2 linked regions of the Nothobranchius furzeri genome follow. The protein of the gene in region 1 interacts with the protein of each later gene in a biochemical or structural test. Links are inferred from orthologs where the notes say so. Each region holds a gene or a part of one and is shown in the gene's direction. Other genes may lie near its edges.

The links. The genes of interacting proteins can lie anywhere in the genome.
Region 2: the proteins of xiap (region 1) and pgam5 form a complex in vitro, tested with the Homo sapiens proteins (2 studies listed by BioGRID, with this or other methods). The link is inferred for Nothobranchius furzeri from reciprocal best matches to the Homo sapiens genes XIAP and PGAM5.

What each region holds. Positions count from the first base shown.
Region 1 is NC_091741.1:25,547,157-25,555,095, forward strand, and holds the start of xiap (E3 ubiquitin-protein ligase XIAP), read left to right. Parts: upstream 1-3,450; 5' UTR 3,451-3,609; intron 3,610-4,754; 5' UTR 4,755-4,804; coding exon 4,805-5,044; intron 5,045-5,130; coding exon 5,131-5,656; intron 5,657-5,758; coding exon 5,759-5,858; intron 5,859-5,947; coding exon 5,948-6,026; intron 6,027-6,333; coding exon 6,334-6,373; intron 6,374-7,939.
Region 2 is NC_091757.1:31,873,463-31,881,277, forward strand, and holds pgam5 (serine/threonine-protein phosphatase PGAM5, mitochondrial), read left to right. Parts: upstream 1-3,004; 5' UTR 3,005-3,228; coding exon 3,229-3,458; intron 3,459-3,796; coding exon 3,797-3,969; intron 3,970-4,040; coding exon 4,041-4,166; intron 4,167-4,260; coding exon 4,261-4,349; intron 4,350-4,861; coding exon 4,862-4,995; intron 4,996-5,276; coding exon 5,277-5,427; 3' UTR 5,428-5,674; downstream 5,675-7,815. Other genes in the region: palmitoyltransferase ZDHHC8B, read right to left, coding at 1,680-1,783; ankle2 (ankyrin repeat and LEM domain-containing protein 2), read right to left, coding at 7,241-7,448. UniProt on the Homo sapiens protein: Mitochondrial serine/threonine phosphatase that dephosphorylates various substrates and thus plays a role in different biological processes including cellular senescence or mitophagy. Modulates cellular senescence by regulating mitochondrial dynamics.

The sequences.
Region 1 (7,939 bases):
GCCTCATTCCAAAATTTTACTCCCATTACAGAGATACATCTCCTTTTCATGCCCTTTTTGGCTTTTTGTAGAACAAACATACATACACCTCTTAAATCATATTTACTTTCCCTCTTTGCAAAGAACATTAGTATAATTTTTGGCAGAGCTGTTAATTTTACTCTAAACATAAATTGCATTATATTATAATGATATAGATCTTCTAATTTCATAATCTGTGATTTTAAAAATAACGGGTCAGTATGAGCAAAATAATTGCTCTTGTTCATAACTCAAATAGATTTCTTTTGTATAGTTTTTATTTCATGTATATATGTTTTAAAAGTTGAACCCCATATTTCTATACAATATGCCATGTATGGTTGTATTAGTGAACAGTATATTAGACATGTATAAATGACACCTGTAGTTTGTCCTTTTTCCATTTGCGCTCAGCCCGACCAGCCAGGCACAGACAGGATCCAACGATCGCCGAGAGAAGCGGAGGTTAGACCCCGCTCCTTGTTTTCTAAATAAGGGCTTGTGAGAACAGCAAAAAGAAGCTTTCAGCTTCACCAGGAAGCCGGCGACCCCCGCGACGGTACTTATGCCGGAGAGGTGGATCTGGGACACGGCACAGGTGAGCCGGGATCTCCGATATTAGCGGGGGCAAAGTTTTATGTCCAGCTTGATTCCATTTCGCCCAGCTTTTGGCAGAAGGTCGGAGATCCAGTAGGGATAGGCGATCATATACCAAGAGAGAGTTGGCATTTCCTACAATAGTCAATAAAATCAAAACAAACAAACATAACACTGGTAGTGACCGATGGGCTGAACAGCATTTTTAAACAAAGATGAGGGTAAGATGTGGAGGGGGCATGCAGAGGTCTTCAGAGAGTTTACTAGTTTGGTTAACTCAGGCAAAGAAACAGGATCAAAGCTATCTAGGATGATGGGCCTGGTTGGAGTCGGGAGAGGCGGCGATAAGGCTGAGGGAGGGATACTAGATCTGACCTTATTGACTTTGTCCACAAAGAAAGACAGAAATTTTCCACAGTCTGCAACAGAGTGGGTGGAGGCTGTAGGAGAGACAATACTGCTGATGGTGTTAAACAGCACCTTGGGGTTCCCTTTGCTCTGGAAGGCCAGGTTGGAGAAATAGGCAAGCCTCACATCTCTGACTGCAGAGTTAAAGTATGTCAGAAGATCCTTTAGATGACACAGATGGACGTGGAGACAGGTTTTCTTCCACAAGTGCTCAATTTTTCTGATTTGTTGCTTCACCCCGGGTTCACACTGAAAGCACCAGCGGCGCGGAACAGCAGCGGAACGTCAGAGGGCAGAGGCCCCAGACCTGCCCGCAGCCACTTGCTCCAGGGCAGACCGAGCTCAGAACTCAGTGGTCTGGGACCCTGGGGTGCCTGTTGTCAATCAAAGTCAGATGTAAGCTGTTGTCTGTATACCAAAGAAAACTGAGTATGTGTCGTTGGCAGGCCCATGGTATCTAAGGGGACATTCCATATTTTTCTGAAACATTCCATACTTGTAGTGCATTCTTTTCTGACATGCCATATTAGGCCTGTGTCAACTAATCACATTTTCTCTTGGAACACAAGATGGCTAACACTAGAAAAGTCACTCCAAAGCAATGCCCATACCCCACAAAGTGAGAAAACGGCTCACATTATCAGAAAGGTTCTCAAGGGCTGGGGTTGGTAACCCTTCTTTTACTGGGTACTTCCTGGATGTCTGAGCTCTTTGCTTCAACGGACATGGAGACAGAAATGAAAGAGAAAGGGGGGTAGATCACAAAAATAAACAGGCGTCTCTACTGCCCCCAAGGTTTGAACCATTCTTACAGTAAGACTTTTACTATTATGTGTTTAAAGTACAATAAAAAAAACTCTGAAATGTTATTTGAAATTAAAAGAACCAGCAGAACTCTTGATAGTGAGTAAATCCGGCTGCTACGTTTGCCAGTGACATGGTACGCTCCCAGTTTGTAGCAGTTCTTTACGGGTCCATTTGTCTCACAGTTGTGTTTGACAAATTGCTCTGTGGTGTTTCTCCCAAGCCTGCCAGTCTTTGGCCCCCTAAAATACCCATCAGAGAGTTAAGCACACATGGTTTAAGTTTCAGCACCACCAATGTTAACATTATCTATGTTTTAAGAACCTCTTTAAAACCACTAACAAGCATAAACAATAAGGAAAATAATCTTCTAAACAATCCTATTATATTATTATATTATTATAATCCAATTTAGAACTCAAATGAAAAAGGCATAAGTGCAGAACTTGAGTAACCCTTTCCAATCAAGCATGATTTATTGTCTTTGGGCTAGTTTTTGAGCAACAGGCGTTCTGAATTTAAGCATTAGATGTTGGCATGCCTGACAATGAAAAATGTTCTTTCCACACAACTCTGACCTGTAAGGTCCAAACCTAAAGACAAAACATGCCATTTTCACACAGATTACCCCTTTTCAAAGCAGCCGTATGCAAACCAACTCTAAAATCAGCTGGTTCACACCTGTCGGAAAAAGTGGACTGATCATACCTAACATCATAATAATGATGATTCAACAAAAACCTGACTGGAGTGGGTTTTAGAATACCAAGTGATCGTTTATGAAGTTATTGTTATACCACAGGTAGTTTCTGAGTAAAGTTACAGCTAAGCTAAACTTGATGAGGCACATTCAAACTATGCTGTTTATGTTTTCTTAGAAAATATGTATCTGTGAAGATGATCATAACATAACAGAGATAGAAAATGTATCTTCTCCATTCTAAATTATAAGAATACCTGTGAACCCCCACCCCCTAAAAAAATCCCTAACGATTTACTGGAAATGCATGGGGCAGACCAATGCTCGTGTTTTATTTGACTACTACGGCAACTTTTAGTTTGAATCAAAAAGTTGACATGCATAATCACCAATATGGAAAATTATCTCAGGTTGATATATGACTGTTAAAGAGTATAGTTATTTTATGTATCCCATTAGCTTTCACTGGCATTTATTTCTGTTGGTGACAGATGCAGGTTGTATTATCAGTCCCTACCCTGTGCCTTGAGTTTCTCTGCTCCAACACCAGGTCCATCGGTTGAATCACCTCTTCAGCAGCTCTGTAACCTTTCAATTACTTGCTGATACAATCAGGTGAGAGAGCAGATAAACCTCAGATAAACATGGAGGCCCTCAAAACAAGAGATGACCGCCACTGTCCTAACAATCCTGATTAAAAATGGTCACTAATATTGTAGGTATAAGATTATGACCTTCAGACATTGTTTGAGGTGCATGATGGGATTACATTAAAATTTTAAATGAACGCTTTTTGCTGGTTACTGACCATATTTAGGCAACCCTAAAGTATGTTGGCAGTTGATAGTAGACGGCATGTTTCTGTGAAACACCCACGTGGGCGTACTTTGATCATGTGACTGAAGAGGCGGGGCCAAATGTTCTAGGTTCCCAGATTCCTCCCTTTGCTTTCGCTTCCTCATAGTTTTTATAAAACAAACTGAGCTCTTTAATCATCCTATTCTGCTCCAGGTCAAGTTCACACTAAAGACAGACTAAAGTTACAAGCTGAAGACCGGAACCAAAAGGGGCGCGTGAAGGTAAATACCGTAGTTTTCCGGCTACGGTCGATTTAGGCAACTGCGCAAATTAGCAAACAAGCTAACGAAGCTAGCTAACTGACACTTTAGCAAACTGTCAAAACCCAAAGTCACTATCTCGACATTACGCACCTACATCAAAGCAGCTGATGTGTTTATTTTTAGAATGCAGGCTTATTGAAATGCGTGTCCTTGAATAATATAGGCTAGTTTTTAGCTTTTGGTAACTCGAGCATCCACGTTTAAGCAAGGGTCACCAGCATAGAGAGCTACTTCATGTGTACTGAGCCACATTAAGGGCTACCAGGATTCTACAGTTCTGACATTTGAACTGGAATAGATCAGAGTTAAACCAAACTTCATTTATAATAAATATATTTTATTTATTTGGAAGGATTTGTAGTTTTAAAATCAATATTGATGCATTTGTAATTAAAAAAGAAGGCTGCAGATTTGTATTTCGTTTTAGATATTTGCCATTTAAAGAAGTGGCTTTATATTATGCCAGGAGGCACCATGGTGCAGTATCGTAAATTGTGCATGTTTGTCATACGGTTAAACACACATTAAGTTGTGACACACTCGTGATCATGGTGACTACTTTTTTTTTTTATAAAGATTGCCAACAACAGTGCAAAGATCAAAAGCTGATCCTCATCAATAAAGCATCTCAGATAAAATCATACTAGATGTTACAGTTTTAGGACTAAGCCTCCACCATGTAGTGGGCTTTCTGAGTATTTGGGTTGTGAGAACACATTTTCCATGTGCCAGTGTAGAGGTGGCAAAACTATTCCCCCCATCCTGCTTTCTTAGCTGGCGTGCTTTGATCTTGGGTCATTAGCCCGTGTACAGCATGTACTGTGACTCCTTATTACAGCAAATACTTTATCAGTGTTTGTCACTGTTGTGTATAATCTATTTAGGAATGCTGCTTTAGTGTAGATTGTATCAGGTTACGCCCTTTGCACCGCCTTTCCTGTTCCCATGCCTCACACAGAGTATCCAGCACCAGCATGTGATTATAGCCTGGCTGCCTCTCCCAAAGGCTTAGCCTGGATGCTCAAACCAGCTCCCTGTTGTTTTAATTCAAGTACATTTAGGACTTTTGACTAACCTTCAAATCTGCTTGTCTTTCTCCTCAGACTTCATACATTCAGTAGCTGTATCTATCCAGGAAGGTCCTAGTTCAATTATGTGTGATAATGAAGAAAATGAGCATCTGGAATCAGATGGTGCTATGGATTTTTCATTGCTCAACAATCGCCTGAACTCCTTCCGCCGCTCCATCCTGGCTGAGCAAGTTCCAGCTGAACGACTGGCACGAGCAGGCTTCTACTTCACCGGCAACGCAGACCGCGTCCGCTGTTTCAGCTGCAAGAAGACTGTGGAGAACTGGACCAGCGATGACACGCCTGTGGAGCGGCACAAGGAGGTAGATCATGGATTCAAAGTGTTGAACGATTGTGACTTTTTGTTCTGCTTTAGAGGTTTAAATAATGATCTCTCTTCCTGGTACAGGTTTCTCCAACGTGCTTGTTTCTCAAATGCTGCCACCGAACCAGTTTCAACCCGAGCTTTCATAACCCGCTCACTAATGGCTACAACGAGGCTGCAGAACACATGGAGTATCGTTTGTTAACTGGAGCCGTGACTGACGACACCATGTACCCTAAAGCCCCTCAGATGGCGTCTGAGGAAGCCCGCCTTCAGACCTTTTCCTCGTGGCCCGTTGATTCTCTTATGAGACCCAGAGACCTGGCACAAGCTGGTTTCTTTTATTTGATGAATGCTGACCGAGTGCGGTGTTTCTGTTGTGGTGGCGAGCTGAGTGACTGGGAACCAGAAGACAATGCTTGGAGTGAACATTCCAAACATTATCCAAACTGCTTCTTCATACTTGGGCATGATGTGGGGAATGTGCCGCTTCAGGAGAGCAGTTCTCAGGTCTCCATGGAGAGTTTTGAGGGGAGACTTGGCAGCTTTGCTGGTCTCCAGCTCCCTGTTGACCACAAGAGTCTCGCCACGGCGGGCTTCTACAGCTTAGGTACAGCGCCATCGTCATCTGTGGACAAAACTCATACAAAAATGAGTCACTGTTATATCGTTGTTCTGATTTTGTTTTGACACATCTGATTTGTGCTTACAGGAATGGGAGATAGGGTGATGTGTTTCAGTTGTGGTGGGAGTTTGAAAGGTTGGCAGCCTGGGGAAGACCCCTGGGAACAACACGCCAAATACTACCCAGGGTTAGAGGAAACATCTGTCTTTTCTTGGCAATAAAAATTCATTATGGAGACATTTTTATTTATGCTGCTGTAACTTTCTTCCCCATTAGATGCAGCTTCTTGTTGGCAGAAAAAGGAGTAGAATTTGTCAACAGCATCCAACTAAATGGACCCAAACAAAGTAGAGCTGTAAGCAATCTCCTTCTTTTTTTCTTGCTATTGTGATTATATGACAAACCATAGCTTGTAACTTTACCTGTCAATCTGATTCCCAAGTCCCTTTATTTATAAAAAATAAACAATGAAAAGGTTTGAATCAGCTGGAATTGTGTTTTAAATCATTTTACTTGTATTTGGTGTGTTTTAGTGAACTTTATGGAACATAAGGAACCAAATGTACTTCTCTTTAGGTCTCGGAAAATGACTGTGATGCCCTGAATCATTAGTAAATTTGGTTTGTTCAAGCTGGAAAATAATAACCTGTTTTTGCTTCCAGGTCTCAAATCCTCAGAATGGGCTTTTGGGCGCTGAAAATGGTAAATATATATTTTGATACAGTGTCTCTTATTATAAAATACAAAAAAAAAGCTTTATTAAGCTGTTTTTATCTAAATATATCAAACCAGGCTAGTGTAACTGGATACAGGTTTTTGTGTAACAGAAAATCCTCGCCGCCTGTTTTGCGAAAAAAAATTGGGCACCTTCTTTTCAGCTAAACAACTCCATTAATCTTTGCTGGAGCAACTAGGGTCTTATAGCGTCCCTTAAATGAAAACTTTTGGCTCGTTTTTAGCCCCCCCTAGAGTCCGTTATAAAACCACAGTCTTAAAACCAAAAGTGAAACTTATCTCCTCACTGCGTTTGTTTTTTTTAACACCTTAATCCAAGTACACCTTGCTGCAGCAGCAGAAAGGGGCGGCGTCGGGCCAGTGGTCAGGCACATATGAACTACAACTGTTACAATTGTTAATACTCTGTTCTATGTTCAAATTAGGCAAAATAAAAATAATTTACTACAGGACAAGGTCTGAATTTATATCCCAAAATGAAAAGGTTCCTTACAGCGAATGTCTGCCCATGGCCGCTCCAAGCATTGTTTTGTATTATCTATGGTAGTCCAGTGGTGTTACTGGTTGACTTTTGTTTTGTTTCGCCCTCTGCTGACGCTGGTTCGACTCTGGGTGGTGTTGGCAGTCATTTATTTAGCCAGCTGAAACACATTTATTTCATTTATTTGTATTTTTTTTTTCTGCAAACTATTTTATGTCTCTAAAGATCTTTGAATTTGATCGTTTCTGAGCAGCATTTTAGTTGATACTCTGCTCACACGTTGGGCATCGAGGATCGATTGGAACCGGTACCAACCGTGAGTTTTTCCCGGAATCGTTCAAAGTTTTTTATTTCGATGACTAGAATGCCGACCGGAAGAGGAATCCGCGGCCGATCTCCGTGAGAAATAAACGTGATCTGCAGATTCTGATCAACGCTTTTCTGAGCTGATCACACCAGCTGTCTGTGTGCAGCACCGAGCATGCTTTTTTTCCCTCCATAACACGTTTGTGTCTAAACGAAGGCGATGTTATTGTTCATAGAATTAAAATTCATGTTGAAGTTAGGATTATTTCATCAAGTAGGACCTGTGGTTAGCTGGCTCATGTACAGTGCTGGGAAAGTTACTTTTAAAAAGTAATTAGTTATAGTTATTAATTATTTCGTCAAAAAAGTAACTCAGTTACGAGATTATAAATGTAACTAATTACTAAGAAAAATAACAACGTTACTTTTTGCATTAAAGAATGCAAGAAAAATGGGTTAGTTGAACTTACTTAATTTACTGTAAATGACTACAATAGTGAAATATAAATGACTAATGACTGGAACATAATAAAATGTATGTCTAAATGATTTTTATAAACCTGAATAATTTAAATAAATAAGCACTTAACAGGAGGAACTACTAATAGGAACATTACATTTATCTAGACTATTAAAAGGTCTCTGTGTGATATTTAACAAGACCCCAATCAGCTAAAATTTATAATTGCAAATAGAAACACCTGTAAAGGTTCCTGAGCCTTTAAATGGTCTCTCAGTCTAGTTAA
Region 2 (7,815 bases), on another chromosome or scaffold:
AAAACCCACCAGCGTGGGACCTGGACCGGACTGGGACAGATGTGGAAGTGGCACTATTGTCCTAATGGTAACACTCAGATAAATACCTAACTAACTTTTGTCTCCGCGGTCCACAAATGTGTACGTGCTAAAGTTTCAACCACTATTAGCCTTGTGACATGCCACGCTCCTACTGTTGCACTGAGGTCTTGTGTTATTTTTGGGCTTAGAGATTTCAGATAACACTTTTTGTGCTGTGGTTTTCTGGCTTACACTGTAATTCAACTTCCAACAGCAGCCAGAGAAAAGGCCAGACGAGGTTCACCATAGATGACCCTAAGTGTGTCTGAAAATGAGGAGGCTCGGCCTTGTTTGGATATGTGCTGCGTCCCGCAAGGTTCCATTGCATTACACACACGCGCGCGCACACACACACACACACACACACACACACACAAAAGACTCAATCCTGAGTTTTTACTGTGAAGAAGCAACATCTTAATCCCTCCCTCTGAGCCATCTGCTTAGGGATGAACTTTAAAGTCACATGCTAAAAAATGATGAGAAACAAATAAAAACAGTGTGACTCAGCTGCAGATCGTACGTTGAATACACTCACTCTGTATCGAGACTTGTAAATCAGGTCATTTGTTTATGCAAAGCTAAGGACAGAGCAGGGATTTTAAGGTGAAGCCAAAAAACACCATATGCTTGTCTCGGCCGCATGGAGTGAAGCTCAAACCATTTCTGGGTTTATTCTGTGTAAATGACACAAAACTTTCAGCTGAGGACATTTTGCAACAAAATGCAATGCATAATGTGTGCAAAATAAAGTCACATATCTTCAACAGCATGTGTCCTGTGGCCTCGGTGCTGTTAATTTTCTTTTCTTTTAATTATAAATGCAGTTTTATGTCATCACCTGACTCTTTAACACTCTGACATTAGTGCCTGTTGCTGGTGAAACCACCTCCCAACCTGTCCTTAGGGAATGCTGCAGATATGAAATGTGGGATGATGTAGATTTCACTGATAAATTGACAGCTATTACTACAGGCGAATGTCTGTGGGAGGGATGATTCAGACCTGAGGCATCAGCTGTCACTCACAGAGCTGACCTCCTCATTCATCAGCTGGACAGCCAAGGGGCCGAAGGCTTTCCTAGCTGTGGGATCTTGAGAGCCTTTATGGTAATGCCCAGTCTGCAGCCGTCGCTGCGTTTTAGAACAAAGAAATGCACATTTCCTGAATCTGCTTTGGAGAGACCTGTTGGCTCAAATCCATATCTGGTCACTGAAACACTCTGGAGGTTGCAGGGTGAAGCCCAGCTGGTAGGAGCCCCTGATAGGCCTGACTTTGATTGCAATGTCTACTACTGGGATGGTGTAATTATCCAAGTCTGATGGGCCATTTGAACTGGTTTGGCCTAAAAGCTGCTGACAGACCAATCCGTTCAACTTAAGAAGTTCTGAGCCTGCATAAGAAGGGAATGCTGCCCCATCACCATCTCTGATAGCAGGCTGTCAGCTGGAACAGATATTCCCCTTTAAACCCACTTATCCCATCTGAGTGACTCAATCCAACCGTGCAAACTTCCACCTACAATCCTGTCCTGTTTTAATTGAGCGCCCATAGTTTATTATTATTATTATTTTAACGAAAAATCCTGACAGGCTAAGGAAGAAGCTATGCGGACTTACGTGAAAACGAAGAATAAAGTGGTGGATCCCACCAGGAGTGTGGCAGCAGTGGACACCGGGATGTATTTGGTGGGTTTAAATCTTTTTCCAGCGCTGTTGGGCATTCTGTATTCTCCACATTCCTCAATTATTTATTATTCCGGTTGCAGGCGCATGCAGGGAAAGAAACGTCCGATCAATGTGCTGTAAAAAAAAAAAAGAAATGTATTAAAAGAAAACGGACGTCTATGTGTGGCTACGAACCGGGCACAGCCAGTCCGCCTCTGCTATCTCTGGAGCCGCATAGGTCCAAGACGCGAGGAGGCACGAACTCACTGGAAAGCCTCGAAATCCCTCCCTCTCTCCGGAACCAGAACCAGCCCACTGTTGAGGTCACCCAGCCGCCCCGAAAGGTGGAGCCAAGCCTCGAAGGCTGGATGCAGCCAGAAAATACAACATTTTAACAGCAGAATGCCTCTAAATGTTCTCATCTATCAATATGTGAGAGGTCTGCTCTGATTTGATGATGAGTGACACCAAACATTAGCTGGAATACGAAGGTTTTATGGTGCTTCGCTGCTCTCTAAGTATTCACAGAAAGATTTAAAAAACGTTTTGTTAAAGGAGAATTTCATCTCTTCAATTCGGCATAGTTGTTTTTTCCCAATCCTCAGTCCAAATGCAGATAAGGCAGTACAGTCGGGCAAGCAAATGTGTCATATAATAGTCATGCGGCCTCTTAAACGCAAAGGTTCCACCTTCCTCACTCATGTGAAGCTTCTGCTTTTGGACCCCGCCCCTCTCACCCTTGTCACTAGACTAAAATCTTATTACAAATTTCAATATGCTGCAAAACTATGTTAATGCATACACATTTATGAACAAAAACACCAACAGAAAATGATTGTAATTTCGTTTTTTCCCCTCAGAGAAATTTCTGATTACTTTCTTGGATGGTATGGCACTTTTACTTACTTCTGCTTTATGATCTTGTGTCTTGCGACGTTTAGAATGCTAGAAGTGAGGTGACAATATATGCTACAACGGTCTGCCTTACAACTATGAAGCTCCTAAAAGTAACAACCAGACAAACGTTTCAGCACTTCCTACAGAAAATTTCAATTACAAATCGGAGTAGCAGAAGCTCGTATGTTTAAGCTGCTGGATAATGATGTGAAATCGCTGAGGCTCACCAGAGAACCATTGTAGGTCAATGTGTGGCTTTAGCACCCTCGTGCGGCGGAGAGTAAATTCTAAAAGCACATGAATGATGTTTTGACCCAAATTGGCCACCGTAGTGTTTGTAGGCGTTCGCCTTTATTAGCTTACTCTTTCCTTACTGGCTTCTGTTTTTGATTTTAGATCTTTAAACGGCGTTCATTAGCTAACTGTGCTGCAGATACGTGGTTTTGTTTACGCTGTTAGAATTAGAATTAACAACCAGACGCCCTTTAGCAACAGAAAGGCGCCTTGTTTTAGGGGGAACAGCTTCACGCGTCTTATTTACAGCAGACGGGTTAAGCTCTGCTAATTAGCTAGCATAAGTTTCGCTTTCTCGGCTGCGAACAAGATGTCGTTCAGGAAAACATTTAAACTTATTTGTGGCTTCGCCGGCGGCTCGGCAGTCTTGGTGTTCGCTGCTAATGCAGCCGAATCTCGCGGATATTTGGGTGAGCGGCGCGGAGAGGGGCTGGCCAGTCGGTGGTCGAGGTTGACCGTCCTTCATGCAGCGCAGCCGGCGGCTTGGACAACTGTCACCCCGATTCCGAGTGGACATTCCTGGGACTTCAACTGGGACAAGTATGTTATGTTGTTGTGTCAGCACGGTCGTTTATGTTGTTGCTTTTATTACACACACATCATTGCATGTGCAGAATCAGTGGTTATCAGGATTTCAGAGGAAAATCCAGATAATAAAACATCCTCAGAAATAAAACTAGAGCCGGTAAATACTTATCAACTGTCTGACGGGAGCTGATTTAAATGATCAGTGGGTAAAATGCAGTTTTGTCAGAAAGATTTGGGAGATTTTCTTCAAAGTGACTCAGCTCATGGTCTTAAGTCACTGTTGGATTAACCCAGCTTTTGGTTCCTTAAATTAAACCACCTCTAATCTGAAAATAACCTGTCCTGTTTAGGAGAGAGCCATCCACGCTGTCCAATGGGAGGAAGAAGGAGAGCGTGACTGAAGACCCCAGCTCCGAGCAGGACAACAGCAAACCAAAAGCCACACGCCACATTTTCCTCATCAGACACTCTCAGTACAACCTGAGCGGAAGCAGCGACAAGGATAGGATCCTCACACCTTTGGGTACTTAACTTCAGGCAGACGGTATTCTTTGGAATGTTTAGTTTCTGAGGGATCTGTGTCCTCTCTCCCAGGCCGTGAGCAGGCTGATCTGACAGGTCAAAGGTTAGCAGCATTGGGTTTAAAGTATGACGTACTGATCCACTCCAGCATGGCCAGAGCTACTGAAACTGCACATATTATCAGCAAACACCTTCCAGGTAGTAAAGAAAGTCATTATAGTAAACAAGATTAGATGCAAATCTATATATATGTTTGTTTGTTTTCTTTAACCTATATGTTATTTGATTGCAGGAGTGGAGCTGGTGAGCTGTGACCTGCTTAGAGAGGGTGCACCAATCGAACCAGTTCCTGCAGTCACTCACTGGAAGCCCGATGCTGTGGTGAGAGAAGCTACACCAACGCTGGGCCCAAAACACAGCAGCTGGCTGGATTTTGTTTATTTTTTTTGTATTTGCATGTCAAGTTTGTGCAGCTCCTAAACTCAGCTGGTTTCATCCAATAATCAATGTGCTGGCACAGGAGTGAGTCACAGGATGAGTGACTTTCCCTCTGTAAAGCTCATTCATTTAGTGTGGGATCTTTTTACATACTTTGTGAGAATTTGAAGTGTTAATTTAAATTATGCTAAAAATTAGTTTTAGTGATTAGGCATTTGCAAACCAAGCATGGCTGCCCAAAGGGAAAAAAAAACCAGAGCAAAGCTTATCTAAGGTCTAGATCATTTAGGTCTTTAAAAGGGATCATCTGAAAGTTTCAGTGGTACTGTCTGTGTAGCTGGCCTCACGTTGGAATGAAACTCTTCATTCATTCCCTTCATGTTCTGACTGAGAGGCTCCAACAGAACCCTTTTCATGTGACAAAGACAGCTTTCAACCTCTCTGCCGTCCTCCAGCAGTACCATGAAGATGGAGCTCGAATTGAGGCAGCCTTCCGCCGCTACATCCACCGGGCTGACCCCAAGCAGAAGGAGGACAGCTATGAGATCATCGTGTGTCATGCCAATGTCATCCGTTATTTTGTCTGCAGGTTTGTGCCGGCAGAGGCTCAGCTCAGGTCCGAGCTTCAGCCTCGTTGCTCTTTGCTTTTGCGAATCTCTCTTCCTGTTAGAATGTGTTTATTATATATTGTCATGCACAACATTCCCCATCATCACTCAACATTTGTCAAAGTTTAATCAAATGTTTTCACACTAGTCTAAAGGTAGTGAGCAGGATCTAGAGCCTTCTAAATAATTTAAAACACTGCATTGAACACATCGGTTTATAAAGCAGATCTGCAGCACTATTTCTTGTTTTCTTTGTACTCAGGGCGCTCCAGTTCCCCCCAGAGGGTTGGTTACGGATGGGTTTGCACAACGGCAGCATCACCTGGCTCACCATTCGCCCGAGTGGCCGGGTGGGCCTCAGGACTATGGGCGATGCAGGATTTATGCCCCCGGACAAACTAACACGAACCTGATGGGTCAGCGCACCACGGGTTTTCTCTGCAGGGTTGACCCTCAGTTTCCTCTCCAAGTGTCTTGAAATAAACTTTTGATTCTTTTATATTGAATAACAGATTTGCCATGTTGTCGGACTGTGTGGTGCTTTTGTTGCGATTACTTGGCTGCCATCACCAACAGGAGTTACAAGCAACTCCTTCTGAATGTAACCTGGTTTTTGTACATAAGTAGGATTTTTTTAAAGCCAATAAAGGTCTATATGTACAGCTGTTAACATAGTTACTGCTGTTTACATCTTACATTTCACTGAAGGGGGCATCATTTGTTGTAATAGTGGTAAATAAATTAAAAAATGTGAAACTTTCTGGTTGTGCCTTACTTAATCAGACAAAAGCACATGTACAGTGTGAGTAATGCAGTGATTTATTGAGTCATTCAAAGCAAATCTGGTCAAGACGTACAGGGAGAACTCACCATGAGTTTTATTTTTAATAAAAGCACAGATTAGCTGAAAGCACAAGAAGCAGGTTTTTAAGTTTTTTAGGTGCGTTTTTGCAAAGTTCCACACTCACAAACATTCAGACCGGTGGCTGATCTCCTGCCATCCAGATAAAGGTTTAGTTCACACAAAATACATTCAAAACAGGTTTCTTTCAGCTTTAGTGGCCACTTGAATACTCAACATAACTGTCTGTTGCTCTAAAAGCAGTAAAAATGCATCCCAGCAGAACAGTTTAGATACAGGTTTGAATTACTTCACATTAGACTCGGTGGTTTTTAAAAATCTGCCACGTGAGTTTCCTGTAAAACCAACTTCAGCTGAGAGAATTTCAATAAAAGCCGTTAAAATCCCCCAATTAAGTCAAATTATATTGTTGTAAAAAGGATATAAAACTGGACATTAACACAGCACAACGCAGCTCATAAGGCAGTTTTTGTGGAGCTGACAAGGTATTCTCACATGTGGATTCCTTTAGGTTTGCCGCCCTCTAGTGATCACAGATAAAACACTTATGCAGCTTTGAGGTGGTCTTCAGGCTGATTTGGGATCAGCACACACGACTGACCTTTGAGTCACCATTTACACACAGGAGAGGTTTCTGACTGACTAAAACAAAATGGCACTGTTTAAGGCCGCCATCATAGCAAAAATAAATCGTTGAGACATCCAGGTACTACCAAGAAATGTGGAAAAAAGATATGCATTTATTAGATTAAAATAAAAACATGGAAGATCTCTCGTTTTGTTTTTCATACATCTTATGTACGAGTTAAAGTGTGTCTGATCCATCACTTCAGAACATTAAGGCAATTCCTGAACTGAGGAACAACACAGGAAATGGCAGTTGGGTTTAACCTCATTAATAAAAACATTTAAATTTGTGCTACTGACCAACATACAAAAAATAAGTTTTTAAATATTAATATTTGACTTGTTTTAGTATTTTTAACATCTTCTGTGACAAAATCCTGATGATTCTATTTTTGTGACCTAACTCTGGGAAGTGTGGTCCTCCAAAACCGTGACTCAGGCTGTCATACAAGTGTGTCGCCGTCGCCACAAACACTTTCAGCAAATCAACATAGTCCACACCCATACAGTACATGTAGTATCAAGTTTTTTTCCTTCTTTTTTTTTTAAAGTCTTGAGCTGACATCACAGCCTAAGGTGATGAGAATTCCTGTTATACATAGAAGAAGTACCACTTGTGCATATTCCTGTTAGGTTTGTGGTTGCTGAGCTCTGCTGCGGTCATCCTGGAGCAGCTGGGGTTGTTGTGTGTGTGTGTGTGTGTGTGTGTGTGTGGGGGGGGGGGGGGGGGGGGGCAGTTAGAGCAGTGGCTCGTTCAAGTGTCTGAGGCGGATGCGTTGGATGTAGCCAACGCTGGCGGGGCTGTAACGGCTGGGGCTGAAGTCTGGAGAGGCAGCGTGGCGGACGGGACTGAAGCGACCGGTGGGGGACATCAAGCCGCCGATGGGAGAGCCGGGGGTCTGATGCTGCATCCTGAGTCGTGGTTTCACCGCCGGGCTGGGCCAGCTTCACAACACACCCCAACATTAATGGTCAATTCTTTAGAAGTGCTTTGATATAACTATTTATGCAACACGTACACAACAATAACAGGCCGAATTTTCAGATCTAATCCTAATATTTATCAGACTACAATCTGATTTCATCACAGTCAAGTTGATCATACCAGTCATGGTGTTACAGAGCCCTTCAGTGTATGGGCCAATTACAACTCACCATTCCTGCATGACTACATTTATGAAAAATTCATAAAATTCTAAAAGAGCATAAAAACCGTGTTACATAAACAATTTACTTCTTTATTTTGAGAACAATATTACACAGCTCTGTTAAAATTAGCTGATAATTAGGGGAACAACATTATTTTATTGAT